Linked DNA regions of Stegostoma tigrinum. The protein of the gene in region 2 purifies or fractionates together with the protein of the main gene of each other region. This does not show direct contact. Links are inferred from orthologs where the notes say so. Each region holds a gene or a part of one and is shown on either strand. Other genes may lie near its edges. The genes, in order: ghitm, pomk, tmem59 and lrp6.

Evidence for each region.
Region 1: the proteins of pomk (region 2) and ghitm purify together in Homo sapiens (affinity purification with mass spectrometry; 3 studies listed by BioGRID and IntAct, counting the BioPlex papers as one, with this or other methods). This does not show direct contact. The link is inferred for Stegostoma tigrinum from reciprocal best matches to the Homo sapiens genes POMK and GHITM.
Region 3: the proteins of pomk (region 2) and tmem59 purify together in Homo sapiens (affinity purification with mass spectrometry; 3 studies listed by BioGRID and IntAct, with this or other methods). This does not show direct contact. The link is inferred for Stegostoma tigrinum from reciprocal best matches to the Homo sapiens genes POMK and TMEM59.
Region 4: the proteins of pomk (region 2) and lrp6 purify together in Homo sapiens (affinity purification with mass spectrometry; 3 studies listed by BioGRID and IntAct, counting the BioPlex papers as one, with this or other methods). This does not show direct contact. The link is inferred for Stegostoma tigrinum from reciprocal best matches to the Homo sapiens genes POMK and LRP6.

The regions. Positions count from the first base shown.
Region 1 is NC_081390.1:4,683,587-4,691,183, forward strand, and holds the start of ghitm (growth hormone-inducible transmembrane protein), read left to right. Parts: upstream 1-4,591; 5' UTR 4,592-4,703; intron 4,704-7,597. UniProt on the Homo sapiens protein: Plays an important role in maintenance of mitochondrial morphology and in mediating either calcium or potassium/proton antiport. Mediates proton-dependent calcium efflux from mitochondrion.
Region 2 is NC_081354.1:14,842,991-14,849,921, reverse strand, and holds the start of pomk (protein O-mannose kinase), read left to right. Parts: upstream 1-3,919; 5' UTR 3,920-5,287; intron 5,288-6,545; 5' UTR 6,546-6,564; coding exon 6,565-6,852; exon of another isoform or gene 6,853-6,894; intron 6,895-6,931. Other genes in the region: fnta (protein farnesyltransferase/geranylgeranyltransferase type-1 subunit alpha), read left to right, coding at 126-278. UniProt on the Homo sapiens protein: Protein O-mannose kinase that specifically mediates phosphorylation at the 6-position of an O-mannose of the trisaccharide (N-acetylgalactosamine (GalNAc)-beta-1,3-N-acetylglucosamine (GlcNAc)-beta-1,4-mannose) to generate phosphorylated O-mannosyl trisaccharide (N-acetylgalactosamine-beta-1,3-N-acetylglucosamine-beta-1,4-(phosphate-6-)mannose).
Region 3 is NC_081361.1:41,411,643-41,418,885, forward strand, and holds the start of tmem59 (transmembrane protein 59), read left to right. Parts: upstream 1-4,241; 5' UTR 4,242-4,280; coding exon 4,281-4,469; intron 4,470-7,243. Other genes in the region: tceanc2 (transcription elongation factor A N-terminal and central domain-containing protein 2), read right to left, coding at 89-230, 3,855-3,944.
Region 4 is NC_081371.1:27,847,815-27,855,449, forward strand, and holds the start of lrp6 (low-density lipoprotein receptor-related protein 6), read left to right. Parts: upstream 1-4,630; 5' UTR 4,631-4,818; coding exon 4,819-4,873; intron 4,874-7,635. UniProt on the Homo sapiens protein: Component of the Wnt-Fzd-LRP5-LRP6 complex that triggers beta-catenin signaling through inducing aggregation of receptor-ligand complexes into ribosome-sized signalosomes.

The DNA.
Region 1 (7,597 bases), on a different chromosome or scaffold from region 2:
AGGTGAAGGTTGGGGGATGGGGTGAGGGTGAGGGGCAGAGTGGAGATGGATTCAGGTTGGAGCGGGTGAAGATTGGGGGATGGGATGGGGTGAGGGTCAGAGTGGAGATGGATTCAGGTTGGGGAGGTGAAGATTGGGGGATGGGGTGAGGGTGAGGGTCAGAGTGCAGATGGATTCAGGTTGGGCGGGGTGAAGATTGGGGGATGGGATGGGGTGAGGGTCAGAGTGGAGATGGATTCAGGTTGGGGAGGTGAAGATTGGGGGATGGGGTGAGGTTGAGGGTCAGAGTGGAGATGGATTCAGGTTGGGCGGGGTGAAGATTGGGGGATGGGATGGGGTGAGGGTGAGGGTCAGAGTGGAGATGGATTCAGGTTGGGGAGGTGAAGATTGGGGGATGGGGTGAGGGTGAGGGTCAGAGTGGAGATGGATTCAGGTTGGGCGGGGTGAAGATTGGGGGATGGGATTGGGTGAGGGTCAGAGTGGAGATGGATTCAGGTCGGGGAGGTGAAGATTGGGGGATGGGGTGAGGGTGAGGGTCAGAGTGGAGATGGATTCAGGTTGTGCGGGGAGAAGATTGGGGGATGGGATGCGGTGAGGGTGAGGGTCAGAGTGGAGATGGATTTAGGTTGGGCGGGGTGAAGATTGGCGGATGGGATGGGAGAGGGTCAGAGTGGAGATGGATTCAGGTTGGGGGGGGTGAATATTGGGGGTTGGGATGGGGTGACGGTGAGGGTCAGAGTGGACATGGATTCAGGTTGGAGGGGGTGAAGATTGGGGGATGGGATGGGGTGAGGGTGAGGGTCAGAGTGGACATGGATTCAGGTTGGAGGAGGTGAAGATTGGGGGATGGGATGGGGTCAGGGTCAGAGTGGAGATGGATTCAGGTTGGGTGGGGTGAAGATTGGGGGATGGGATGGGGTGAAGGTGAGGGTCAGAGTGGAGATGCATTCAGGTTGGAGGGGAGGTGAAGGTTGGGGGATGGGGTGAGGGTGAGGGGCAGAGTGGAGATGGATTCAGGTTGGAGCGGGTGAAGATTGGGGGATGGGATGGGGTGAGGGTCAGAGTGGAGATGGATTCAGGTTGGGGAGGTGAAGATTGGGGGATGGGGTGAGGGTGAGGGTCAGAGTGGAGATGGATTCAGGTTGGGCGGGGTGAAGATTGGGGGATGGGATGGGGTGAGGGTCAGAGTGGAGATGGATTCAGGTTGGGGAGGTGAAGATTGGGGGATGGGGTGAGGTTGAGGGTCAGAGTGGAGATGGATTCAGGTTGGGCGGGGTGAAGATTGGGGGATGGGATGGGGTGAGGGTGAGGGTCAGAGTGGAGATGGATTCAGGTTGGGGAGGTGAAGATTGGGGGATGGGGTGAGGGTGAGGGTCAGAGTGGAGATGGATTCAGGTTGGGCGGGGTGAAGATTGGGGGATGGGATTGGGTGAGGGTCAGAGTGGAGATGGATTCAGGTCGGGGAGGTGAAGATTGGGGGATGGGGTGAGGGTGAGGGTCAGAGTGGAGATGGATTCAGGTTGGGCGGGGTGAAGATTGGGGGATGGGATGCGGTGAGGGTGAGGGTCAGAGTGGAGATGGATTCAGGTTGGGGAGGTGAAGATTGGGGGATGCGGTGAGGGTGAGGGTCAGAGTGGAGATGGATTCAGGTTGGGCGGGGTGAAGATTGGGGGTTGGGATGGGGTGAGGTTCAGAGTGGAGATGGATTCAGGTTGGGCGGGGTGAAGATTGGGGGTTGGGATGGGGTGAGGGTCAGAGTGGAGATGGATTCAGGTTGGAGGAGGTGAAGATTGGGAGTTGGGATGGGGTGAGGGTCAGAGTGGGGATGGATTCAGGTTGGGTGGGGTGAAGATTGGGGGATGGGATGGGGTGAAGGTGAGGGTCAGAGTGGAGATGGATTCAGGTTGGAGGGGAGGTGAAGGTTGGGGGATGGGGTGAGGGTGAGGGACAGAGTGGAGGTGGATTCAGGTTGGAGGGGATGAAGATTGGGGGATGGGGTGAGGGTGAGGGTCGGAGTGGAGATGGATTCAGTTTGGGCGGGGTGAAGATTGGGGGATGGGATGGGGTGAGGGTCAGAGTGGAGATGGATTCAGGTTGGGCGGGGTGAAGATTGGGGGATGGGATGGGGTGAGGGTAAGGGTCAGAGTGGAGATGGATTCAGGTTGGAGGGGATGAAGATTGGGGGATGGGGTGAGGGTGAGGGTCAGAGTGGAGATGGATTCAGGTTGTGCGGGGTGAAGATTAGCGGATGGGATGGGGTGAGGGTGAGGGTCAGAGTGGAGATGGATTCAGGTTGGGGAGGTGAAGATTGGGGTATGGGGTGAGGGTGAGGGTCAAAGTGGACATGGATTCAGGTTGGAGGGGATGAAGATTGGGGGTTGGGATGGGGTGAGGGTGAGGGTCAGAGTGGAGATGGATTCAGGTTGGGCGGGGTGAAGATTGGGGATGGGGTGAGGGTGAGGGTCAGAGTGGAGATGGATTCAGGTTGGGGAGGTGAAGATTGGGGGATGGGGTGAGGGTGAGGGTCAGAGTGGAGATGGATTCAGGTTGGGGAGGTGAAGATTGGGGGTTGGGATGGGGTGAGGGTGAGGGTCAGAGTGGAGATGGATTCAGGTTGGGGGGGTGAAGATTGGGGGATGGGATGGGGTGAGGGTCAGAGTGGAGATGGATTCAGGTTGGGCGGGGTGAAGATTGGGGGTTGGGATGGGGTGAGGGTCAGAGTGGAGATGGATTCAGGTTGGAGGAGGTGAAGATTGGGAGTTGGGATGGGGTGAGGGTCAGAGTGGAGATGGATTCAGGTTGGGTGGGGTGAAGATTGGGGGATGGGATGGGGTGAAGGTGAGGGTCAGAGTGGAGATGGATTCAGGTTGGAGGGGAGGTGAAGGTTGGGGGATGGGGTGAGGGTGAGGGTCGGAGTGGAGATGGATTCAGGTTGGGCGGGGTGAAGATTGGGGGATGGGATGGGGTGAGGGTCAGAGTGGAGATGGATTCAGGTTGGGCGGGGTGAAGATTGGGGGATGGGATGGGGTGAGGGTAAGGGTCAGAGTGGAGATGGATTCAGGTTGGAGGGGATGAAGATTGGGGGATGGGGTGAGGGTGAGGGTCAGAGTGGAGATGGATTCAGGTTGTGCGGGGTGAAGATTGGGGGATGGGATGGGGTGAGGGTGAGGGTCAGAGTGGAGATGGATTTAGGTTGGGCGGGGTGAAGATTGGCGGATGGGATGGGGTGAGGGTCAGAGTGGAGATGGGATTCAGGTTGGGGGGGTGAATATTGGGGGTTGGGATGGGGTGACGGTGAGGGTCAGAGTGGACATGGATTCAGGTTGGAGGGGGTGAAGATTGGGGGATGGGATGGGGTGAGGGTGAGGGTCAGAGTGGACATGGATTCAGGTTGGAGGGGTGAAGATTGGGGGATGGGATGGGGTGAGGGTCAGAGTGGAGATGGATTCAGGTTGGGGGGGTGAATATTGGGGGTTGGGATGGGGTGAGGGTGAGGGTCAGAGTGGACATGGATTCAGGTTGGGGGGGTGAATATTGGGGGATGGGGTGAGGGTGAGGGTCAGAGTGGAGATGGATTCAGGTTGTGCGGGGTGAAGATTGGGGGATGGGATGGGGTGAGGGTGAGGGTCAGAGTGGAGATGGATTTAGGTTGGGCGGGGTGAAGATTGGCGGATGGGGTGAGGGTGAGGGTCAGAGTGGACATGGATTCAGGTTGGGGGGGTGAATATTGGGGGATGGGATGGGGTGAGGGTGAGGGTCAGAGTGGACATGGATTCAGGTTGGAGGGGGTGAAGATTGGGGGATGGGATGGGGTGAGGGTCAGAGTGGAGATGGATTCACGTTGGGCGGGGTGAAGATTGGGGGATGGGGTGAGGGTGAGGGTCAGAGTGGACATGGATTCAGGTTGGGGGGGGTGAATATTGGGGGTTGGGATGGGGTGAGGGTGAGTGTCAGAGTGGACATGGATTCAGGTTGGGGAGGTGAAGATTGGGGGTTGGGATGGGGTGAGGGTGAGGGTCAGATTGGACATGGATTCAGGTTGGGGGGGTGAATATTGGGGGTTGGGATGGGGTGAGGGTGAGGGTCAGAGTGGACATGGATTCAGGTTGGGGAGGTGAAGATTGGGGGTTGGGATGGGGTGAGGGTGAGGGTCAGAGTGGACATGGATTCAGGTTGGAGGGGGTGAAGATTGGGGGATGGGATGGGGTGAGGGTCCGAGTGGAGATGGATTCAGGTTGGGCGGGGTGAAGATTGGGGGATGGGGTGAGGGTGAGGGTCAGAGTGGACATGGATTCAGGTTGGGGAGGTGAAGATTGGGGGTTGGGATGGGGTGAGGGTGAGGGTCAGAGTGGACATGGATTCAGGTTGGAGGGGATGAAGATTGGGGGTTGGGATGGGGTGAGGGTGAGGGTCAGAGTGGAGATGGATTCAGGTTGGGGGGCGGTGTTTGGGGTATCCAGGGCACGGGGTAATCACTCCCCAGCCCCTGTTGCCCAGGAAACTCTAAGGCCCAATCATTGGTGGTCGCTGAAGACGCTCGCCGCTTCACCAATCAGAACAAAGACAGCGATGCACGTGACGTACGCTCGCGCTCCCCACGGCATTCTCGGCCTTGTAGTGCCGCCACGGCGCATGCGTCTACCCCCTGGAGAAGGTTCCGGAAAGAAGCCGACAGTGAGTGCGCAGCAACTGGAGCCGGAGAGGTGAGGGACCGTTCCCCCCGCAACTGGGATAGGGCCCGGCTCAGCGAGAATCCAAACCCCCCCCCCCCCCCCCCCCCCGGCGGGGAACGAGACACACGTGGTGAGAGACGTTGTTAACCCTCCTACCACCGGAATGAGAGACATAATCTCCCCACCCCCCCCCCCCCGGGGTGTGAGAGTTTATCTGTCCCCACCCCCACCCCACCTCCCCCCGGGGTGAGAGAGGTTGTTTCTCCCCACACCACCCACCCCCCAAGCCTGCCTTCCCCCGGGGTGCGAGAGGTTGTCTGTCCCCACCCCCCAGCCTGCCTCCCCCCTCAGGGTGAGAGTGATTATTTCCCCGCCACCCGGGGTGATAGACGTTATTCTCCCCCATTCCCCATGCCCCTGAAGAGATTATGCTTGGGTTCCTACACAGAGGAACAGAGTTGTGGTTTCTGAGCCAGAGCTGTTTGACTGTTAATGTCATACCTACTGTTCATCCGTCTGAAATCGCAATACAGGGTAGATCCACTAATATCTCTTGTGAACTTGATGAAGATTGTACTTGTTATCTCACAATTCCCTCCCGTCTGTTTTTTGGATTTGGCTTCTCATTTTCTGTGCTGCTTCTAATCCTTTGCTCATGGGATGGCAGGATTGTAATTGTGTGAGGCAGTTGACTGTCTGTATTGCACCATGTGATTATTGTTCAGATCTCAACTGTGAATGCTATGAGTTAGAATCAAACTAGGTATCTATTGCCCCACGTTTTTGTGTTAATGTTATCTTGACTTGAAAATGAAAACTGAATAACCTTCAGTTTCTCCTCTTAATGCTATTGTACTGTTTATCCTAACCTGGAAGCAAGTGTTTTGACCAGCCTGCTCCTGCCCCACCGAACTCATCTCCACCTATCTGGACTCCATTTTCTCCCTTTTGGTCCAGGAACTCCCCACCTACGTCCGTGACACCACCCACGCCCTCCACCTCCTCCAGGACTTCCAATTCCCTGGCCCCCAACACCTCATATTCACCATGGACGTCCAGTCCCTATACACCTGCATTCCGCATGCAGATGGCCTCAAGGCCCTCCGCTTCTTCCTGTCCCGCAGGCCCAACCAGTCCCCCTCCACCGACACTCTCATCCGCCTAGCTGAACTCGTCCTCACCCTCAACAACTTCTCTTATGACTCCTCCCACTTCCTACAGACTAAGGGGGTGGCCATGGGCCCCAGCTATGCCTGCCTCTCTGTTGGTTACGTGGAACAGTCCCTCTTCCGCACCTACACAGGCCCCAAACCCCACCTCTTTCTCCGGTACATTGATGACTGTATCGGCGCCGCCTCTTGCTCCCCAGAGGAGCTCGAACAGTTCATCCACTTCACCAACACCTTCCACCCCAACCTTCAGTTCACCTGGGCCATCTCCAGCACATCCCTCACCTTCCTGGACCTCTCAGTCTCCATCTCAGGCAACCAGCTTGTAACTGATGTCCATTTCAAGCCCACCGACTCCCACAGCTACCTAGAATACACCTCCTCCCACCCACCGTCCTGCAAAAATTCCATCCCCTATTCCCAATTCCTCCGCCGCATCTGCTCCCACGATAAGACATTCCACTCCCGCACATCCCAGATGTCCAAGTTCTTTAAGGACCGCAACTTTCCCCCCCACAGTGATCGAGAACGCCCTTGACCGCGTCTCCCGTATTTCCCGCAACACATCCCTCACACCCCGCCCCCGCCACAACCACCCTAAGAGGATCCCCCTCGTTCTCACACACCACCCTATCAACCTCCGGATACAACGCATCATCCTCCGACACTTTCGCCATTTACAATCCGACCCCACCACCCAAGACATTTTTCCATCCCCACCCCTGCCTGCTCTCCGGAGAGACCACTCTCTCCGTGACTCCCTTGTTCGCTCCACACTGCCCTCCAACCCCACCACACCCGGAACCTTCCCCTGCAACAGCAGGAAATGCTACACTTGCCCCCACGCCACCTCCCTCACCCCTATCCCAGGCCCCAAGATGACATTCCACATTAAGCAGAGGTTCACCTGTACATCTGTCAATGTGGTATACTGCATCCACTGTACCCGGTGCGGCTTCCTCTACATTGGGGGAACCAAGCGGAGGCTTGGAGACCGCTTCGCAGAACACCTCCGCTCAGTTCGCAACAAACAACTGCACCTCCCAGTCGCAAACCATTTCCACTCCCCCTCCCATTCTCTAGATGACATGTCCATCATGGGCCTCCTGCACTGCCACAACGATGCCACCCGAAGGTTGCAGGAACATCAACTCATATTCCGCCTGGGAACCCTGCAGCCTAATGGTATCAATGTGGACTTCACCAGTTTCAAAATCTCCCCTCCCCTACTGCATCCCTAAACCAGCCCAGTTCGTCCCCTCCCCCCACTGCACCACACAACCAGCCCAGCTCTTCCCCTCCACCCACTGCATCCCAAAACCAGTCCAACCTGTCTCTGCCTCCCTAACCGGTTCTTCCTCTCACCTTATCCCTTCCTCCCACCCCAAGCCGCACCCCCATCTACCTACTAACCTCATCCCACCGCCTTGACCTGTCTGTCTTCCCTGGACTGACCTATCCCCTCCCTACCTATACTCTCCTCCCCACCTATCATCTTTTCTCTCCATCTTCGGTCCGCCTCCCCCTCTCTCCCTATTTGTTCCAGAACCCTCACCCCATCCCCCTCTCTGATGAAGGGTCTAGGCCCGAAACGTCAGCTTTTGTGCACCTGAGATGCTGCTGGGCCTGCTGTGTTCATCCAGCCTCACATTTTATTATCTTGGATTCTCTAGCATCTGCAGTTCCCATTATCACCTATACATCCTTACACCCTGCTTCCTGTAAAGACTCTATTCCATTTTCCCAGTTCCTCTG
Region 2 (6,931 bases):
TGTTAAAGGCCCTGCATTAATAAAGGTTATTGAAATGAGTTTGGGAAGTTAAGATTTAATGAATTTGGGGAGGAAATGGATAAAATTTTATTTTTTTTAAATCTTCTGATTCTGATTTCTTTCAGCTGTGTGAGTGTCTTGCTGTAAAAAAGGACACTATCCGGCAGGAGTACTGGAGATACTTTGCAAGATGCCTGAAAGAGAAGTATGGTGTTAAGCAGGAAGATACTGAACCTACGGAAAGTGAAGCACCCCTTCAGGAAGGCTGCAATAACTGAAAACTATTTCTGTAGTTTGTATCTCCTAGTTAAAAGGGCAAAAAGTGGTTGTTTTTTTCACATTCCTCTTTAATTTTCTTAACATCAATCTACACCGCACCCTTGTGCATGTAAATGTGTAAAAACATAACATTTTGTACGTGTATATATATTGAAGCACAAAGCTAAGGAATAAACAGCAACTCTACAACAATGTTATTATCACGTTTTTGCCTTTAATCCACACTTATAAACTAAATACAAAGCAAGAGAACATAATTGTTACTAAATCAGCTTTATTTAGGGGGATATTGGAACTTATTTAAAATTACTTTTTTTAGTTGTCACAACTGCAGTGAAATATTCACAAAGCTACAGTGTTGTACAGATTTTACTGTCCGTCAATAAAATCTTGTGAAGTGATGTGTTTTCTCTCATGTCATTTACATTTAAAAACAATACATGAAACAAAAACAATAAAGAACTGCAGATGCTGGAAAGCAGAAACAGAATCAGAAATTGCTGGAAAAACTCAGCAGATCTGTGCAGAGAAAGCAGAGTTAATGTTTTGCATCCAGTGACGCTTCTTCAGAATCAAAGTCCTTTGGACTGTTCTGAAGGGTCACTGGACCTGATATGTTAACTCTGCTTTCACTCCTCAGATGTTGTCAGACCTGCTGAGTTTTTCCAGTAATTTCTGATTTTGAATGCATGAAGCTATTTGATTTAAATCATTCACTAATTAAAAAGGCAGTATTAATTAGTGACTGCATTGCCGTTTGGGTCAGAAAGTGTTGTGTGAAATTCAAATCATCAAGTACGTTGAAGGCAGAAGCCCTCTGCATAGTGATCACAGTAACTCCAGCTTACATTTATGTAGTATGTTTAGTGATCATCTGACATCCCAAAGCATTTCACAGTGTAGTCATCTTTGTGACATAGGGAAGGTAACAGTCAATTTCCACTCTGCAATGTCCCATAAAAAGCAATAAAATGACCAGACACTTTTTTTGTTTTGTGAATTTTATTGAGGGACAAATGTTGACTGAGTCATTGGGGATAACACTTCTGATAGAGTCATAGAGATGTACAGCACGGAAACAGACCCTTCAGTCCAACTCATCCATGCCAACCAGATATTCTAAATTAATCCAGTCCCATTTGCCAGCATTTGGCCCATATCCCTCTAAACCTTTCCTATTCACGTATCCATCAAAATGCCTTTTAAATGTTGTAATTATACCAGTGCCCATCACTTCCTCTGGCAGTTCATTCCATACTTGCACTACCCTCTGTGTGAAAAAGTTGTCCCTGTTAAATCTTGCTCCTCTTACCTTAAACTTATACCCTCTGGGTTTGGACTCCCCACCCTGAGTAAAAGGCTATTTACACTATCCATGCCCTGTCATGATTTTATAAATATCCATAACGTCATCCCTCAGCCTCTGATGCGCCACTGAAAATTGCCCCAGCCTATTCAGCCTCTCCCTAGAGGTCCAACCCTGGCAACATCCTTGTAAAGATTTTCTGAACCCTAATGGAATCTTCTGTCTACCCAGGCAGACAGATGGAGCCTCTGTTTAATGTATCTTCTGAGAGGCAGCACCTCCAAAAGCACAGTACTCACTCAGTACTGCAATGAGTGTTGGCCCTATGTTTTGTGTTGATGGAGCTCCTGAATTTAACAGTATTGCTGCATCTTCAAAAGGCAGGCAGAGTTTTACTGACCTATACATACATGCAACATGTAGCAAACAGCAGTTGCAGTTGCTTCTAGGTCTAAGAGATGACAAGGAAATGGAGCACAAGCTGCAGAGGGGGAAACTCTTTTAAAGCCCCATCAAACAGAACTGCATACCTCCCTGCTCCTTAGCAGTGACAAGAGGCTGACAGCACTCTCATCAACATTCCCTCGTGTTTGTCCTACCTCATCCGAAAACCCTGCAACAGAATCTATCCAAGTTCTCCCTTCAGTGAGTTCCCACACAAACTATCCTCTTATTTGGTGATAGCCTCACTTAAGCCCGTTGACTTAACATGCAGATTCCAACTTTGTGTGGGCACCTGAAGTACATTCAGTACTAATATCTGAACTGGTGGCAGAGATAAAGATAAGTAAAGTGGCAGAGCCCATTCACTTTTGGACTGTAGTTGATGACAGCTGTTGTGTGAATGAAAGCAGAAAACCAGTGGAGTGAGGGGAGAGGGCTCAGTTGGAAAGGAAGAAGTTTGTGACTACACCACCTGAAGCTCCAGAAAGCAGCATAAAGTCAAGCTGCTAATTCAGAAGGGAGGACAATTTCAGAATCTTAGAAGAATCAAGTTGCTAAAAGAGGTCATTCAGCCCATTGTGCCTTCACTGAGATGTTAGATGAGCCCTTAGTCTCAATGACACAGGATGATACAAGCTCCACTCCAGCAAATCCCATGATGTACTGGATCATGTCTGTAGTGCACAGGACATGTCAGGTATCCTTAGTAGCTGTTGATTCAGTTCTGCTTCTTTTTTCACGTATATGGCATTGTCCTGTATGAATGAGGGCAGAACATCAGTAATTGTCTTGCAGTGTTTGGATCTGGACAGCTGGACAGGAGAAGCTGGATGTGAATTGGACAATTGCAGTTTGTGTGAAAGCTCCTTCTTCTTTCTCTTTTGATATTTTCAGCTTCCTTGTATCATGACGGGTATGGATAGGATGGATAGCCAAGGTCTTTTCGCTAGGAATGCCACAACTAGAAGGCATAAGTTTAAGGTGAGGGGGAAAGATTACAAAGGGATCTGAGGAATAATATTTTTCACACAGAGGAACAAGCTGCCAGAAATGGTGGAGACTGGTACAATTACAACATTTAAAAGACATCTGGATGGGTATATGAACAGGAAGGGTTTTAGGTATATGGGCCAAACACTGGTAAATGGGACTAGGTCAGATTGGGATGTATGGTTGGCACAGACAAGTTAGACCGAAGGGTCTAGTTACACTCTGAATGGCTCTGACTCTAAATGCACCTCACAATTCTATTGCTAATAGCTGCCTCTATCTCAATTTTCCCTCTCAATAAAACTCATATCTGCCCAAATTTTGATCATCAGACATTCCTGGACAGGTCAAAAGAAAACTCATCTGATGCTTTTTTCATTCTTCTATATCTTTTATTTGTTACTTTGTTTCTCATTATTTGATCAACACTGCAGTCAATCTAGTTCTAATTGTTCCTTACTCCTAAGCAGCTCTTACCTGTTGATTCTCATTACACCATTGCAGCTGAAATGAGGACTTATGGCAAAAGACACTAATGCATTCTTTCCTTGCTTTTCCAGAATGGTTTGTTCTCCCTATCCACCTGTCCTCCATTGTCTTTTTTCCCTTTGATAATCTAGGTGCTTGATTTCACAGAAATGGTCCTGATTTAGCACACCATCACCTCTCACATTTTCTCAAAATATTTACAGCATGTGACTTTATTTCTGTGGAGCTCAACAGCTCATTAAAATCCAATTTAATGTGCCGCCTTGGATCTTTCTGACTGCTTATCTGGGTTTATGTCTGCATGGCCTGGAGATTGCCTTTTTCAGTTGTGCCTCTGTTTATGTCTGGGTTTGTATCTGTATCTACGTCTCCCTCTGGATTATTGTCTTTCTGCCCAAGTGCGTCCATCTGCCTCTTTCATTCGCTATGCTTAGGTTTGAGTCTTTTTGTCTGACTCAGGAATGGTGTCTGGGTTTGTGTGTCTCTTTCTCAGACTTGTCTCTAATAGGCTTGTATCTCTCTGGTCCCTATCTTCACGTCATGTTCCTTGAATGAGTCGATGCCTGGTCTTGTCTATGTAATTCACTGTGCCTCTCTCAGTTTGTGACTGTAATTCTGTTTTTCTCATTATGTTTTAGTTCTGTTCTCACTGGCTTGGAATTGAATTGCACTGCCTCCCTGTTAGGCTTGTGTTTATTATTTTGTATGTGTGTATGTGGTTGGGGCTGTGTCTCTCACTGGTTCAGTCCGTGTCTTTGCCTGATTCTATCCCTTAGTGCCTGGGTTTTATCACTGACTTGTTCTCAGTCAGGGTTTGGGGTTTCCAATTTCTCTCTCTCTGCTAGGCTTGTGTTTGTCTTTATTCCTCTCTCTCAGGCTTGCGTCTATCCTGTTCTCTCTCTGTGTTAGGCATGTATCTGTCTTTATTTTCTCTCTGTTAGTCTTGTATCTATCTTATTGTGTGTATCAGCCTTGTATCTGTCTTATTCTGTGTGTGTTAGACTTGTATCTGTCTTATTTCCTCTGTGTGTATAGCCTTGTATCTGTCTTATTCTCTCTCTGTGTGTAGCCTTGTATCTGTTTTATTGTGTGTGTGTGTGTGTGTATTAGCCTTGTATCTTAGTCTCTCTATCTGTATAGCCTTGTATCTATCTTATTCTATATAGCCTTGTATCTGTTTTATTCTGTGTCTATAGCCTTGTACCTGTTTTATTCTGTGTGTGTGTGTGTGTGTGTGTGTATTAGCCTTGTATCTATCTTAGTCTCTCTCTCTGTATAGCCTTGTATCTATCTTATTCTATATAGCCTTGTATCTGTTTTATTGTGTGTGTGTGTGTATAGCCTTGTATCTGTTTTATTCTGTGTCTATAGCCTTGTATCTGTTTTATTCTGTGCGTGTGTTTGAGTTCGTCACTGGCTGCGGTGGACTCCGGGCGATGGTACAGCGCCTTGTCCGTGATCTTTAGGCGGGGACGGGTGCCGGTTAACGGGCGGAGGGGGCAGCTCTTCATCCCTGCTGCCGGTCTGTCTGCAGCGAGCGGGCCGGCTCGGGCTCGGGTTGCTCCTCCCAGACACACGGCGGGCTTGAGAGGCCGCTTCGGCTCCGGGAGAGGCTCGATCCGGCCTCGGTTCATCCTGTGTCAGACGGAGAAGACGGAACATTGAACATTAGACCCTGCAGGCCGACAACAGAGCGACCGAACAGTGGACTGAAGCAGCCCTGCCAACCCTCCCGGAATTAAAGGAGAACCTCCAGGTTCCTCATTAGGATAGATAGAGGTACTAATAAAACCGTGTTTGCTTTTCATATCATTTTTACACTTCAGATTATAGAAATACTGGGGGGAAGGTGGCAATTTTGCATGGGCAAAGCAAGTAAAGGTTGAAGGTCAAGGAATGTCTACCCAGAGTTGGCAACTGTACAACATGACCATTGTTCTTTGACATTTAATGGCATTGCCATTTCTGAATTCCTCACTATTAACATCCTTGGGGGTGGGGTGGGGGTGCTACCCCTGATCAGAAACAGAACTGGACCAATCATACAAATACAGTGGCTACAAGAGCAGGTCAGAGGCTTGGAGACTTGCAACAAGTAACTCACCTCTTGAGTCCGCAAAGCCTGTCCTCTATCTACAGGTACGAGTCAGGAGTGGAACACTCCCCACTTGCTTGGATGAGTGCAGTTTCAACAACATTCGGAAGTTTTACATCATCCAGAAACAAATGAGCCCACTTGACAGGTACCACATCCCCACTCTCAGCTTTCAGTAGCAGCAGTACGTGTCTTCTACAAGGTGCACTGCAGAAACCCACCGAGGTTCCAAACCCATGACCATTTCTACCAAGAAGGACAGGGGCAGCAGACAGATGGGAACATCATCACCTGTGAGCTCACCTCCAAACCGTTCATCGTCCTGACTCGGAAGTATATTACTGTTCCTTCAATGTTGCTGAATTAAAATCTTTAAACTCTCTCCTTAACTGCACTGTGGGTCTACCTACAGCAAATGGACTTCAATGGTCATGAAGGCAGCTGAGCACCACCTTCTCAAGGGCAAATAGGGATGGGAAATAAATAGTAACCCAGTCAGTGAAGCCAACATTTCATGCATAGTCCTTAATTAATGTTCATCTCTGAAACGTCCAATATAAAACTCTCCTTCCCGTTTAAAGAAAGATGCATTCACCACATGAATCTCATTAGTCTCTTCAGCACATTAATGTTGGAAGAAACCTTGTTCATATTTACATTTTGTGTAAAATACAATATACACATGAGTATATATACACCCGCTTTAAAAATGCATTCATCTGCAATGCAACGGTTCCAGTCACACACACACTCATCAAATTTCCTTCCCTCTGCAGCAATCAGCTAGGCTTCACATAGTCCTTTGGTACTCCCAACCTCCCCACCCAGTCAAGATCTGCCCATATATCCCCATTCAGGAGGGACATACATCATCATTCTTAGCCTTAGAGTAAGAAGCTATCATGGACTCACTCTTTTGCAATATGAATCATTTCTATACAGGTGACCAAGAATTTTGAAGATGCAGAGGGCAACGGTTGGTAACCACAGCCCTCCGATGCTACTGAGAGTGACGCTGGCTCTCATATCTCTTGTTGCGGCTCTGCTTTCAGTCACCACATTCTTCCGGATGGAACTCCTGCACCATTTGCCATGGACAAAGGGACCAGTAGACAATAGTTCAGATTCATGCTCGTATGGTCACTTCCGGCTGGGGGGAATGAAGGACTGCCTCTCCTGGTTGTCCTGCGAGGTGATTCAGAATGAGGTTACTGTGGTGAAGCTGATTGGTCGAGGTGCTGTGAAGCAGGTAAACTCTTCCCTCTCCAATCCTCGATTAAGACAGAAAGTTCTGAAAATATTCAGAAGGTTGGGCAGCATATGTGGAG
Region 3 (7,243 bases), on a different chromosome or scaffold from region 2:
TAATTTATACTAATATCATAATTTTAAAAGTTTGTCAGATGTCAAATTACAATCTTGAAAGTAAGAACTGTGCAGTTATAATCTTCACCTATTTTAGTTGACAGCAATACTTCTTGTGAAGGTATTTTCTTCTTTAATTCATTTAATGCTTCCATTAAGTTTTCCTTTGTTTGATTAGGCAGTTCCAAAATAGACTTACATCTCTTAATATCTTCAATCACCACAACTCTCTGTTTGGAGAATAAAAACAATAGTCATCACCCAAAAACTATTTCAGCAAAAAATATCAAAATCATGTAATACGTCTGTAGTGTTTAAGGTTTAGGAGGAAATCAAACATATTTTGCATTGTAAAGCCATGGACATTAAGAATTAAAATTGCAAAAAATGTAAACACTGACAAAAATGCAGATCATCCAAAGTTATAGACATGATTTAAGGATAGTATGTATATTTGTTATGATGATCCCAAAAACTTGACATTTTAAAGTGACAAATTCCTCAAAATATGCAATAATAAGATAACTTTTACTGTAACAAAAGTAGAAGCGACAGAATTCAACCTTAACCACTAGATAAATGGTACATCAGCTAAGCAAGGGTAAATATCTTTAATTTTAACTACACATTATATTTGGTCAGATGCCAAAACTTTGGTAAGAGTTAAATTTTAAAACGTACATTAAAAGGATGAAACAAATAGAGACCTTAAAGGAGAGAATGTCAGTGTTTAGAGCTCAGGTAGTTGAAAGCACAATTGTTGGTCGAGTAATTAAAATTGAACACCCACAAGAGACAAGAATTAGATATGCAGACATCTTGGTGGGCTGAGAGGCTAGCAGAGATTAGAGAAATGGCAAAGACAGATGTCAAAGAGCGAGTGAGGAATTTTAAAATTGAAGAAGTATATTTAGCAGGAGCCAAAGTAAGTCAGTTAGCAGAGAGCATGGCCAACAGAGTCTTGGCTGACCTCAGATTTACAGAGGGTAGAACCTGGAGTTTGTCCAGGGTGGCATCGGGATGGTCAAAATTAAAAGATAATTCAGACATAGGCAAGATTTTCGGCAGCAGATGAGCTTGGCCAGCAGCAGTGTTGGGGGCAATTTTCACCATCACGAGGTCTGCTTTGTCCAGAGATGGATACATTGTTCACTGGGATAGTAGGAACTGCAGATGGTGGAGAATATGAGACAACAAGGTGCAGAGCGGATTGAACACAGCAGGCCACGCAGCAGAGGAATAGGAAAGCTGACGTTTCGGGCCTAGACCCTTCTTCAGAAATGGGGAAGAGATGGGGTATTCTGAAATAAAGAGGAAGAGATGGGGAGGCGGACAGAAGATGGATAAAGGAGACGATAGGTGGAAAGACGACAGACAGGTCAAGGAGGTGAGGTTGGAGCCAGGAAAGGTGAGGGTAGGTGGGGAGTTAGGGAGGGGATAGGTCAGTCCAGGGAGGACTCACAAGTTGAAGGGGTGGGATGAATCTAGTAGTTAGGAGATGGGGGTGGGGCTTGAGGTGGGAGGAGTGGACAGTGGAAGGACAAGTTAGGGAGGCGCATACGAGCTGGGTTGGTTTTGGGATGCAGTCGAGGGAGGGGAGATTTTGAAGCTTGTGAAGTCCACATTGATACCGTTGGGCTGCAGGGTTCCAAAGCAAAATATGCGGTGCTGTTCCTGCAACCTTTCGGTGGCATCTCTGTGGCACTGCAGGAGGCCCAGGATGGACATGTTGTCCAAGGAGTAGGAGGGTGAGTTGAAATAGTTCACAGAAGTGCAGTTGTTTGGTGCGAACCGAATGTTGGTGTTCTACAAAACGGTCCCCAAGCTCTGCTTGGTATCCCCAATGTAGAGGAGGCTGCAACGGGAACAGCAGATACAGTACACCACATTAGCAGATGTGCAGGTGAACATCTGTTTGATGTGGAAGATCTTCTTATGGCCTGGGATGGGGGTGGGGGGGGGGGGGGGGGGGGGAGTGATTTCCTGCGGTTGCAGGGAAATGTGCCGGGGTGGTGGGGAGCGTGGAGCAGACAAGGCAGTCATAGAGAGAGTGGTCCCTCCGGAAAGTAGATAAGTGTGGGGAGGGAAAAATGTCTTTGGTGGTGGGGTCCAGTTAGATCTGGAGGTTGGTGGGGTGGTACGTGAGGACATGGGGGACTCTGTTTTGGTTATTGTTGTGGTGAGGAGGTGTGAGGGATGAGTTATGGGAAATGCGAGCGACGCGGTCGAGGGCGTTTTCGACCACTGTGGAGGGGGAAGTTGCGGTCCTTGAAAAATGAAGATGTCTGGGAGTGGAATGCCTCATCTCGGGAGCAGATGCGGTGGAGGCAAAGGATTTGGGAATAGGAAACTGCCTTTATGCTGGAAGGTAGGTCAGAGGAGGTGTACTCTAGGTAGCTGTGGGAGTTGGTAGGCTTGAACTGGATGTCGGTTTCCAGGTCATTGCCAGAGATAGAAATAAAGGGGTCCGGAAAGGGGAGAGAGATATATTGGAGATGGTCCAGGTGAACTTAAGGTTCATAGAGTCTTTCCATAATTTTTACCATTTTTTCCCCCATTTGCCCTCACCTCATACCATCCAACACTCACATTCTCTTCCTACCTCTTCTTTCTTAGAAGTTTCCCCATATCACTTTTTGGTCCTTTTCCTCTCGAAACGTGCCTCCCCAAATTCTCTACCTTTTCCTAATTAAGTTCATCAAAAGAAATTCTTCATCATGTTATTTTCTGTCTTTTTGAATTCTCCCCCAAATTCATATTTCAAAGCTATTTAATCCTCTCCTTCTGTAAAGTCAATGTAATTGGCATAAAAATAGGCTGTCCTACTGTACACACAGAGTCAGGATCTTATCATGGGATGAAAAACTACATTAAATTTGCAAAAGTCAGATTTAGCCTCAGGCAGGTATCTGGAAGAGGGTTGGGTTCAGCAGCAAGGTGATGGAGCAGAGTAATAGGGAAGCTGACCTTCAAGAACAGCAGAGCTAGTGGCAGGTGATTCTCTGGCTGTGGTTCGATAGACAAGAACATAACCAAGTGAAGGTAATCCTACCGATCCAGCTGAGTTAAGAAGCATGAGGGGAGGATGGTGCAGCTGATGATGTCAAAGTTGGGGAGAATCTGATAAAGATAAGGAAGGAAGTTCGCCCTTTGTCGATCACAAAGGATGTCATTTTGTCATGCATCAAAGGCAGAAACTTGAACAGAAGAATTCAAACATGGAATTCCATGAAAAGCAGGTATGGATTTGGGGATGAGAACCATTCAAGCACTTTCAGGAGGGAACAAAGGGAGGGTGGAGCTGGGTAGTTTGCCAGGGCATTCTGCACACTGTGGAAAACGGATTAACATAAAATAAAACAAAAGAGCTGCAGTTGTTGGAAATCTGAAACAAAAACAGAAACTGGCGGAGAAACTCAGAGGTCTGACAAAACCTGTGCAGAGAAAGCAGAGTCAAGTTTCGGGTCCAGTGTGATTTCTTCAGAATTTCAGACTGGAGCCGAAAAAACGTCAACTCTGTTTCTCTCTCCACAGATGCTGCCAGACCTGCTGAGTTTCTCTGCCAATTTTGTTTTCTTTCGCGTGTGATGGAAAAGACACTGATCTGCGACTCTCTAATAAAATCTCTCCCATCTCCAGCCTTTCCTTGATTCTGAAAAACATGCCCGTAACGGGGGAATATTTAACTGAGCACCAACAGCCTTCTCCTGCCGCGACACAATAAACTGCAGCTGAGGGTCAGCAGGCAACGGGGAGGGCAGCTCGCAAGAAAAACCTGCACTTAAAAATAAAAGCATCCGGCCTTACAATTTAACCCAAGTAACTCGACGGTGCCAGAGAAGCCAGGACTCTACCTTTAAAGACTCGAGAGTGACCTGGCGATAAACCTTAGCTGGGTGCAGCGCTAGGCTCAGATCCCGGCCCTTCCTCACAAAGCGATCCATTAGCAACGACCACCTCCTCTCCCCAGCGTCCTCGCCCGGTGCATGCTGGGAGTCGCATGCTTAAAAATCCAGGGGAAAAAACTACATATCCCAGCATCCCCTACGCAGACAATTTCCGGCGATGATTTTGAAGTTAAAAAAATTTAGAGAAGGAATTATCTATAAATAACACAAAGTCCAAAAGCAAGCCTTGGCTTTGTAGTTCGGCTCTATCTCGGTTAAATGAGGGTCATACAAATTTCAAAAACAAAGAGCGGACAATAAGAGTTGAGGTCACTGAGGGTGGTTGGAGGGCGTGTGTGCGTTGTGGGTTGGATCACAACAAACAGACTGAAGATGGCGGAGGTAGCGGGACAGCTCCATTGTAGAGCTTCTGTCGTTAGCCTTCTACTGTGCTTGGGGTTTGCTTTGTCTTCCTTCTCTACCCCGTCGCTGGCTTCCGATGCTTTCGAAGCGGTTTTAGGTGACACGGCGTCGTGTCAGAGAAGCTGCGAGATGACTTACAGCCTGCATACTTACCCGAAGGTAAGGCTGCCCGGTTGGCCAGGGGTAGAGACAGGCCTGTGTTTAGCCTAAGAAGGCTGTTTCTTTGTTAATACTTCTGTTAGTCCCCTTGGGTTTATTTTCGCGCCAAGGAATGCTTGTGTGATCCAGATGGTTGAAATCTGCAATTTATTTGTTCGAACATTTGAACTGAGTTGGCGAGCCCTTTTTGGGGATGGGGGTTTCGAACGAGGTTGTTAGTTGCACAGAGAAGTAATTAACTCTGAACGATCGAAAAGTTGCACTACTCGAGAGGAACCGGAATATGTTTTTTTTCGTTGCTCGAAAGCTGGCAGTGAAGTCTTTCTATAAAACGTTCACGTGACATCGTTTATTTTTACCCCTTGCTCTGGCCTTTTGACAGTAGCTTTGTGGCCGTCGTTTACATGATAACGCACATCGAATACATTCCAGTGTGTGTGAATATAACCGCTGCTGTCTCCATTTATTCGTCATTTGCACTGTTGTATTTTTTTGTGTGAAACTCATTTAATGACCAATTCAAACAGACAGTAGAAACTGCCGATGCTGGGTTACTGAAGAAAGTTCTAGACTCCAAACGTCAGCTTTCCTGCTCCTCGGCCTGTCGTGTTCATCCAGCTCTAAACTTTGTTGTCAATGTTCAATTCATGACACGATTTATCTCCCTTTAATTAACCAACATCGTGTACGGGCCGTTTTTTTTATCTGAAACAAATGAGTTTATTTGGTTTGGAGTTTTGAAATTGTCAAAAAAAATTAGAAACCAGGGCTCAGCCATTCTTTGCCTTGTACAGTATTGATCCGGGGTTCAGTCACCACTTTGTCATGCCTGCAGCAGGAGTCAGAAGTTTTGCATTGTGAGGTATCTCAGTGGGTGCCTGAATTAGATAGTCTTGTAAGTATGGAGTTTGAGAGCTGTTTTGGCCTAATAAAATAAACATATCCTAATGTAATGTGTTGAGTGTGTGGTATGGCAACTGCTCTGCCCAGGACTGCAAGAAACTACAGAAGGTGTTGTGCACAGCCCAGAACTTCACCGAAGCCAACCTTCCTTTCATGGACTCCACTTATGTGGCTTGCTGCTGCAGAAAGGCTGCCAACATCATCAAAGACCCATTGCACCCCAGTGATGATCTCCTCCAATTTCTTCTGTCAGGCTGAAGATGCAGAAGCCTAAACACAAGTAGGTTTAGGAAGAGCTTCTTCCCAGCAGTTATCAGACTGAATGGATTTTGTAGCCTCAAATACTTCTGATCTTGCTAATGTTGATCTCTCCTAGCACATGCTCTGTGCAATGTAATTTGTATACCTCCTAGGTCTTTTTGGTCTATACATATTTTGCGCACTGTGGTCTGTCTGTACTACTTGTAAGCAAAGCTTTTCACTCTTTATTGTCACATGTGCCAAAATAGCTATCAATCAATTATTTAAGTTACTGTATGATTTGTGATTTGGTTACATTTAACCATCACACTTTGCATATATTGAGTTGGCCTGTGCCTAACCTCCTCCTGAATTTAGGAATTAGATTTCATTCCAATGAGTGACTCACCATGCTGGCCAGGGAAATCTTTTATCTGTGAGGACTTCTCAGTAGCTTGGTTGGGAGACTTGAGTTGAAGGAAAGTGTTGAATTTAAGTTTGTCATGCTCCTGGTTGAGTTTGGGGAGGTAACATGTGGCATGATCATGGTTAAGTAAGCATCTGACATTCACTGCCCAGGTTTAATTGGCTCTAAGGTGGTGATAGTCATGAGCTTATGCCTTGAACCATTGTCAGGGCTCAGTTATGGTGGTAGTGTCCCAACCCATGAGCCCAGGGACCTAAGTTGAAGTTTCACCTACCCCAGAGATGTGAACAGATCTCTGAACAGATTGAAGAAAAATAGATTGAACCATTGCAGTCCATGGGAATGTTTTGGGATATTCAGATTGCTGTTAAGAAGAGAGTTTCAAGCTTTTACCCCAGCAACATGGAAGAACCGTCATTTTTCCAAGACCAGGAAGGTTAATTTGGAAGGGAACTTGCAGATGGTGGTGGTCTTGTGCATCTACTGCCCTGGGCCCCCCTCGTGTGATACGAGCACAGCTGGCACAAGTGAAGTATTTTAAATATTTTGGGTGTTTTTAAGGAACATGTTGAAACTTTGTGGTTTTGAAAAATCAAGTGTAACTTCTGTCACTGCTGTCATTGTGATGTCACTTGAGATTAAGGTGACAGGTCAGATCATATTAGAATTTTCTGAAAAGGTTTTTTTGAAAACTTCAATTGCAAGTACACGGACTATTGGCTGCAGCCAAGACAGCAAACCCTTTCTGGCTTCAAAATAGTTCTGTTAAGAAATTTAAGGACCAAATTTATTACTACATGCTGACTTACTTTCCTGCAGTGCTTTTTAAAAAAAAAATGTAAGATGCATATTGCATTCGTTCTGTTGGCTTTGATCTGAGACCTGATTTTTTTTTAAAAAAAAAAACCTGCTGTTGTCCGTTTCATCATTTCTGGCAAGTGCAGAGCATCCCTCACTACACCACTTAATTCTCAACAAAGAGTAATTTTTCTTTTCCCCTAGATATTTGGCTGGCTTTTCTGTCTGGGAGAAAAAAATAACTTTTAAAAGTTGAACAAATGACTGGAACTCTTTTTCAATAAGGCAATGAAATTTTCCTTCAATCATACAAAAAAGACTGTTGCTTATGTCACACCTGAGCTATAAATGTCAGTGTGATCAAGTCAAACAGTATTTTTGAACTTTTGTGTGTGGTAGTTAAACT
Region 4 (7,635 bases), on a different chromosome or scaffold from region 2:
TTTCCAGAACAGGTATAACACTAACATCTACCCAGCCATGTGGAAAATTGACAGGTTTGTCCTATACACAAAGCAGGTCAAATCTGACCTAATCAATAACTGCCCCATCAGTCTATTCTCTGTTCTCAGTAAAGTTCTGGAAGTTGCCACCAACAGTGCTATCAAACACAATTTGCTGAGCAATAACGTGGTCACTTGTGATCAGTTCGGGTTCAGTCAGGGCTACTGAGCTTCTGGTTCAAGCATGGACAAAATAACTCAATTCTGGAGAGGAGGTGAGAGTGACTGCCTGTGGCATCACAGTCACATTTGATTTAGTGTGGCAGCAAGGATCCCTAGCAAAACTGGAGTCAATGGGAATCAAGGAGTAAATGAGTTGGAGTTATACCTGGCACAAAAGAAAATGTTTGTAGTTGTTGGAGGTTAGTCATCTCTGCTTCAGAACATCTCTGCAGGAATTCCTGTGTCTAGTTTCTTTGGCCTAACCATATTAACTGCTTCATCAATGACATTATCTCTATCATAAGTTAACAAGTGGGCACGTTCAGCACCAACACAGACTCCTCAGATACTGAAGTAGTCCATATCCAAATGCAGCAAGATGTGGAAATATCCAGGCTTGGACTAGATTAATTAGATTCCCTACAGTGTGGAAACAGGCCCTTTGGCCCAACAAGTCCACACTGCCCTTTGGAATATCCCACCCAGACCCATCCCCCTATAACCCACACACTACGGGCAATTTAGCGAGGCCGATCCACCTCACCTCACATCTTTGGACTCTGGGAGGAAACCCACACAAACACAGGGAGAATGTGCAAACTCCACACAGACAGTTGCCCGAGGCTGGAATTGAAGCCGGGTCCCTGGCACTATGAGGTTGCAGTGCTAACCACTGAGCCACTGTGCCGCCCCTAACAAATAGCAAGTAACATTTGTACAATTGCAATGTAATGATCATCACTATCGAGGGAAAATCTAGCCATCACTCCTTGACATTCAATGTTATTACCAATGCTGAATTACTCACTATCAACATTCTGGGTCTACCATTGACCAGAAACTGAATGGGATTAACCACATAAATACTGTGGCTACAAGAGCAGACCAGAGGCTAGGCATTCTGCAGTGTGTAAGTCAACTCCTGATTCTCCAAAGCCTGTCCATAATCCACAAGGCACAAGTCAGGAGTTGTGATGGAACTCTCCCAAGTTGCCTGGATGAGTGCAGTTCCAATAAGAAGCCTGACACCATCCACGAAAAAGCAGCTCGCTTAATTGGCAACTCAAATATTCACTCCCTCCACCACCAACGCTCAGCAGTAGAAGTGTGTACCATCTACAAAATGCACTGCAGAAATTTGCCAAAGACCCTTAGACAGGATTCTTCCAAACCCATGATCACTATCATATAGAAAGACAAGGGCAGCAGATACATGGCAAGACCACTACCCGCAGGTTCCCTTCCAAGTCACACACCATTCTGACTTGAAAAAATGTTACTTTCCTTCAATGTTGCTGGATCAAAATCCTGGAACTCCATCCCAACCAGCATTGTGGATGGACTTATGCCAAATGGATTTCAGCAGTTCAAGAAGGCATCTCACCATAAACTTCTCAGTGGATACTGGAGATGAACAATAAATGGTGACCCAGCCAATGAAGTCCACATCCCATGAATAAAAAATGCCTTCTTTCCAACTTTTTCACATTTAAACTGCAATGTGCCTACTCTGAACCCAAGTAGCTATGGACAGCCAGAAGGCCACCACCAGTCAGCTAAAATGTCCCCTGTCACCTCTATGGGCTTATGAGGCTGACTGCAAAATGCTAGTTGGCCACTGATACCAGGCTCCAGAAAGCCCTTAAATTAGCTCACTAGGTTATCTAACTCTTACAGATGAGTAGCCCAGCTCCCTCAACCTCCCTATTGTCACTCCTACCTTCTAAAAAATGGCCAGGATGGGATGGAGGCAGGTAATTGGTATACAGGCCAGTTTGTAGTTCCATGCCCGCCTGCCTTCAGTCCTGCCCTTAACAGTGTTGAAGAGTTTCTCACTGGACAGTTGCTACTAGAACTGCTGAGTATTTCCAGCATTTTCTGTATTCCTTATTACAGTTATGTGAATTTCTCATTGCAACCGAGTTTTGTGGAATTTATTGTCATACAAGTTACTTACTTAAGATTAAGATTATGATGTTGATATTTAACTGACACTAAATACCTAGCATACATTATTTTGGTAAATATTTTCAATGTAGCGCAAAAATGCTGTTAGCAAGTGAAATCCCATTGATGGTTGAAAATGCTTCACGTTTAGTACATTCTTTTCTGAAATGACTGCGATTTCTAATGCTCAATAAAAGCTTTGCGAACCAAGGGGGAAAAGGTGTACAGGGTAGGAAAGAGAGAGGAAAGAAAGAGGAATGAGACAAAACATAGAATGAGGTAAAGAGAAGTAAAGAGAGGTTAGGGGAGGTTGAATAGAAGGAAAATAGTGGTCATGGGAATGTCAAATGAGGTGGGCATGTAAAACATTGAACAGGGAGTACGGGAAAGGAGAAAGTGGAAGTAAGAACAAACATAAGGATTAGTGGGCAGAAGACAAACTTGAAGAGAGAGAGATGAGGTTGAGCAGGCATATTTTTTCAACTTCCTCCTGATAACTTGCAGATAGAGTTGGAATTCCCAGGTTCTCACCTCAATTGGTCTTACAGACATGTTTTTTTTGCTAGTGTGGAAACAGGCCACTCACCTCAACAAATCCACACCAACTATCTAAAGAGCACCCCATCCAGACTCACCACCTCACCCTACCCTATAACCCAGTATTCCCCCATAGCTAATCCACCTAATTTTACACATCCCTGGGCACTATGGGCAATTTAGTATGGCCTTAAACTGCACATGTTCAGACTGTGGAAGGAAATCCACAGACACAGGGAGAACATGCAAACTCCACACAGACTGTCACCCAAGGCTGGTATATGAACCCAGGTTCCTGGTACTCTGAGACAGCAGTACTAACCATTGAGGTACTGCCCCAAATCTGCAGCAATTTAGCTCTTACGTAATTTTCCATGCCTTCCCAAATTCCAGTCTGGTCTATAACATAACCTCCCAGACCCTCAACCTCCAAAACCAAGTCTGAATGTTGCAGACCTTAAAAAGCATCCTTACTTGCTCTGACGCTGAACAATTATCTCTTACTGTTTGTGGTAAATTACTTGGTTACAAAATACTATGACACCTGGTAATATCTAAAATAAAAATGTTTTCTCTGGCTGAGTTCACTAAAAATCGTATTCGCCTTGCCGTCTAAATTCGGTTTCTCTCTCCGCAGATACTGTCAGATCTGCTGACCACGACATGGTCCTCTTCCGTCTGGCTGACCTGAGCAACACTGCGGGGGGAGCTGCTTCATATTCCAAACCACCTAAACTTAATTTATTTTCGCTTCTTTCACAAAAACAAATGCGTATCATTTTGTTTGTTTTTCTTTCTTCACATACTTTTGTTTTAAGTGTTGAGCGGTGCCAACTCAAAAACAGAAATTGCTGCCGAAACTCAGCAGGTCCGGCATGATCTGTGAGGAGGAAGCAATGTTAACAATTGGAGTTCGGTGACTCTTGCTTCTGAGTTTCGCCGGCAATTTCTGTTTTTCTTTGAGATCTCCAGCATCCGCAGTTCTTTGTTTTATTTGAGCACTACATGCATTGATTTTCTGAGGCTGCTGATTTAACACGTAGTCCAGCACGGATGCAGAACCATCTCCAGTTTATGACCAAATGTATTCGTCGTCATGGTCTAGCTCTCTCATAGATAAACTCAGTAAGACATTTAAACTGAGTTTAATCATTTTTAATGCCAGAAACAAAAACGTGTGAAATGTTTTGGAATTGTTCGTTTTCTTTCATTGCTGACGGCAAGTTCTCGTTTTTCTTAAACCTATATGGATGGATAATTCGTGGAAGAGGTTCTTGGAATTCATATCACATTAAAACCTTTTAAAGAAAGGAAAGAAATAACAATTTTATCTAAAACGAATTTTATTTTACGCGTGTATATTTATTTGAGCGTGAAAAATCACTCTTCACAATGTTGTCGCAATTTCTCAACCAGAGCATCTTTGGAAGGATTTTTGACGGCGACATTTCAATGCAAAGATGTGATTTCCCGCTGCCCAGCCCACCCGCTCCTTCGATTTAATTGCAGTAATCTCTCTTTCATTAACGTGGGTAAAGACACCGTCCCCATCTCCCTAACACCGTCTCCTCGTTCCCACACCTCCTACACACACTACCTGAACGCGCAGCCATGTACAAAGGATACTTGATGCTCTAGTATTAAAAAAAAGTAGCGCCGCAGTCCAGGTCAAATGGTTATGTTGTTCTAAGGCAGAGCACCACTCTCTGCTGCAAAAGAAATCCCCGGGAAGGCTCGCTCCAAGCCTCGGTTAAGAAGATGCATGAGAGACTGAGCGGGGGAATATATCTTTTTACACACCCGGGAGGGGGCACATGGGGAGGAACAATGAACTAAAAAGGCTCTTTTCTTTCCCAGCGAGCTTGCCGTAAAGAAAATAGTACGCCGGGAGAGAAACAGGGCAAAGGAAAAGGGAGGGTGTTAGTGGCGGAGGGAGAGGAGGCGTGTGCTTGCGCCGACGGTGAGCGGAGATAGAGAGGCCACGGAACCATGGCTGGCGAGCGAGATACTTTGTAGCGCTGCCCAAAGTCACAGGAATTGTAACTATGTGTTTCAATGTGGCGCCACGTTGAGCTCTCTTTGACTGCCTAGAAGGGGGGGGGGAGGGGAAACATGGGTACCGCGCTGAGGAGTTTGCTGTTGTGCAGCGTTTGCTCTTTGATAAGGGGTGAGTAAAAGTTAAAAGATTGGTTGGCCCTCTCTCTTGGTTTTATTAAAAAAAGGAGGCTGAGTGAGAACGGTCTTGCATGTTACTGTGAGGGGCCCGCGAGGGGGCTGATGGTGTGTGTGTGTGTTTCGTTGGGGGGGGGGGTTGGCTGTCTACGGGGGCAGAAGGGAAAGGTGAAGGGGCTTTCTCTGCCCCGGTTTACATGCATTGCCATTTATATTGGAAGGCGAATGGTTCAACTATAAACTCTAACGTCGTTCAACGCTTTTAGCTGCTGGAATGGTTTTGTGTGTGTGTGTGTGTGATAGAGAGCCGGCCGTGAGGTGGAATGAATGCCGCGATTTCTCTCTCTCTCTCACTCAGGAGTGCTGCCACTTTGTGCGGGGGAAATGCTTGGCAAAACACAGCGCAGGGTGCTCAATGGGGAGGAACGGGTCTGCTGGAACTTTTTCTGCAATGCTTTTAAGCATCTGCTTACCATCTTTTGGTTGTTTATGGAGCACTAAAAGCCGATCGAAGTGTTCCCGAACAAACAGACGGACGGATCCGATCTGTCCATTCGAAATCTTAATTCATTTGTAAGAGCAGTTTAGTTTTGTTTTAGGAAGGGCCTGCTTGTAAGAGCAAATAAAAGAATTTCGGCTGTGCACTCGGGTTGCTTTAAATACGTTTTACAACTTTTCTGGAGACATATTTCTTTACCGTATTCTATTTTATTCATAATAGCTGATCAGAAAGAGCTTTCTTTAAAATCACATTCTCTACAGGGCTACAGATCAGATTTCAAATTTAATTATTTTATTAAACAATAACTGACACCTTTTTTCAGTCCTGCATTCGTTGAACACGTTAGTTCTAGGCAAATGCAACAGGTAGTCCTGTAAAACATACGTGAATTAAGTCATTGTCGACAAAAGCAGGAAAGATATCTTTCGGGGGCTAACAAATCGTTCATGGGTAATTCGAGTGCAGCCTTGTATCTGGTTACACATATACCACAGACAAATTACTTTATTAATAGTGCAATTCCAAATTTCACATGTTCACATTCTGGATTGCAACTTTGAGGAACCCTGACAGGTAGGTACTAGTTAATTTGCAATTAGATTAATATAACTAATCTTGGAAGGTGAAAGAACTTGCGTTATTTTTTAGAAAAAGGTAATTTTTAAATACATGTTGCCTACATGACAGATTAAGTGAAAGAAGCTTTAAATATTTTGTCACGAATAAAGACAGAAATTGTTGGAAAATCTCAGCAGGTCTGGCAGCATCTGTGGAGAGAAATCAATTAACCTTTCAGGTCCAGAGACCCTTCCTCACAGCCTTCTGTTTTTCTTTCTGATTTCCAGCTTCTGCAGGTTTGTTTTTTTTTAAAGAATATTTTGTATATACTTCAAAACAAGTTCAATGCAGTACATATAATCCTAGGAGAAACTGCTAGGTGTTGAATATGAAATAGTGTACAAGTTTATATGCCTGATCGTAATTGCAGGCATATTAATAATAACAGATGTTTAGAATCCAAGTGGTTAATTGGTAAAATTCCCCTCACCTTTACCCATGTGATTTGTTTTGCATGTAAGTTGTCAATGCACAGAATCACCTGATGCTCTCAAAATTGACTCCATATTTTTCATGGCGAGGTGTGGTGGGGGTCATATTTGTGTAAAAATTGAGTTATTTTTCTCATTATTGTGCAGTTCCATTAGTTAGTTGGAACGGGGAGTCTGGTGAAGGACTTGACCTTATTGCCTTTTGTATTGATTCCAAACATTCTGGGATGTCAATTTGAAATGTGCAATACCTTCGACATCTCAAAGAGCTTATTTCCGTGAGGATTACTGTTGAAGTAATTTAGTTTTAGTTGGTATGTCGTCATAAAGGTATTGGGCAGTCTGTGATTACATTGCTGCAATTTAATTCACACCAGGTATCCATGATGTTTATAATTCTGTTTATCCAGAGTAGTAATGTAATCTTAAGTATACAGCCATTCTGGAATTGTAATTTTGTATTTTATAGTCATAATCCTGTAAAGTTGCACTGAAAATACAATATCTTAGGAGCAGGAAAGCTGATGTTTCGGTCTTGACCCGAAACGTCAGCCTTCCTGCTCCTCTGATGCTGCTTGGCCTGCTGTGTTCATCCAGCTCCACACCTTGTTATCTCGGATTCTCCAGCATCTGCAGTTCCTATTATCTCTGAAAATGCCATGTTTGCCACTTTGGAATATGTTAAATCTGAAAATTTATTTGTAGTAATCTCTAATTTGACGCAGGTTTTTTAAAATTAAATTTCACTGTTTCTGCTTTTCAATAACAATTCATTCAAGATTCCCTACAGCACTGAAATATTGAAAGCAACAAGACTGTTTCAATTCAACTGAATTAAATAGAGTTGGGGGGGAATAAGGTGGGGAATTTAAAGCCTAAAGCACTGTTTAGGTTAATTATGCCATAGTTCCAGTTAATGGAACTGATGTATTTCTCATTCCATTATTTTAATCAAATACATCCTTTGTATTCAGATAGTTTCTAACATTTTGGAATATCATATTTAGAACCGTGTAAGTCAGTTTTCGAGCTACTACCTGTGCAAATGTACTGAGACAGTTTGGAAATCTCTGACCAGTCTTTATTTTGGGCAAGAATTTCCAGTTTGCACTTGTGCAGTGGCATGAGCACTCATCTACCAATTGCTGAAGTCATTTTGACAGTTTTACAGTTTTGTAAGATATAACTTGCAGTTTAGAAAGAAGC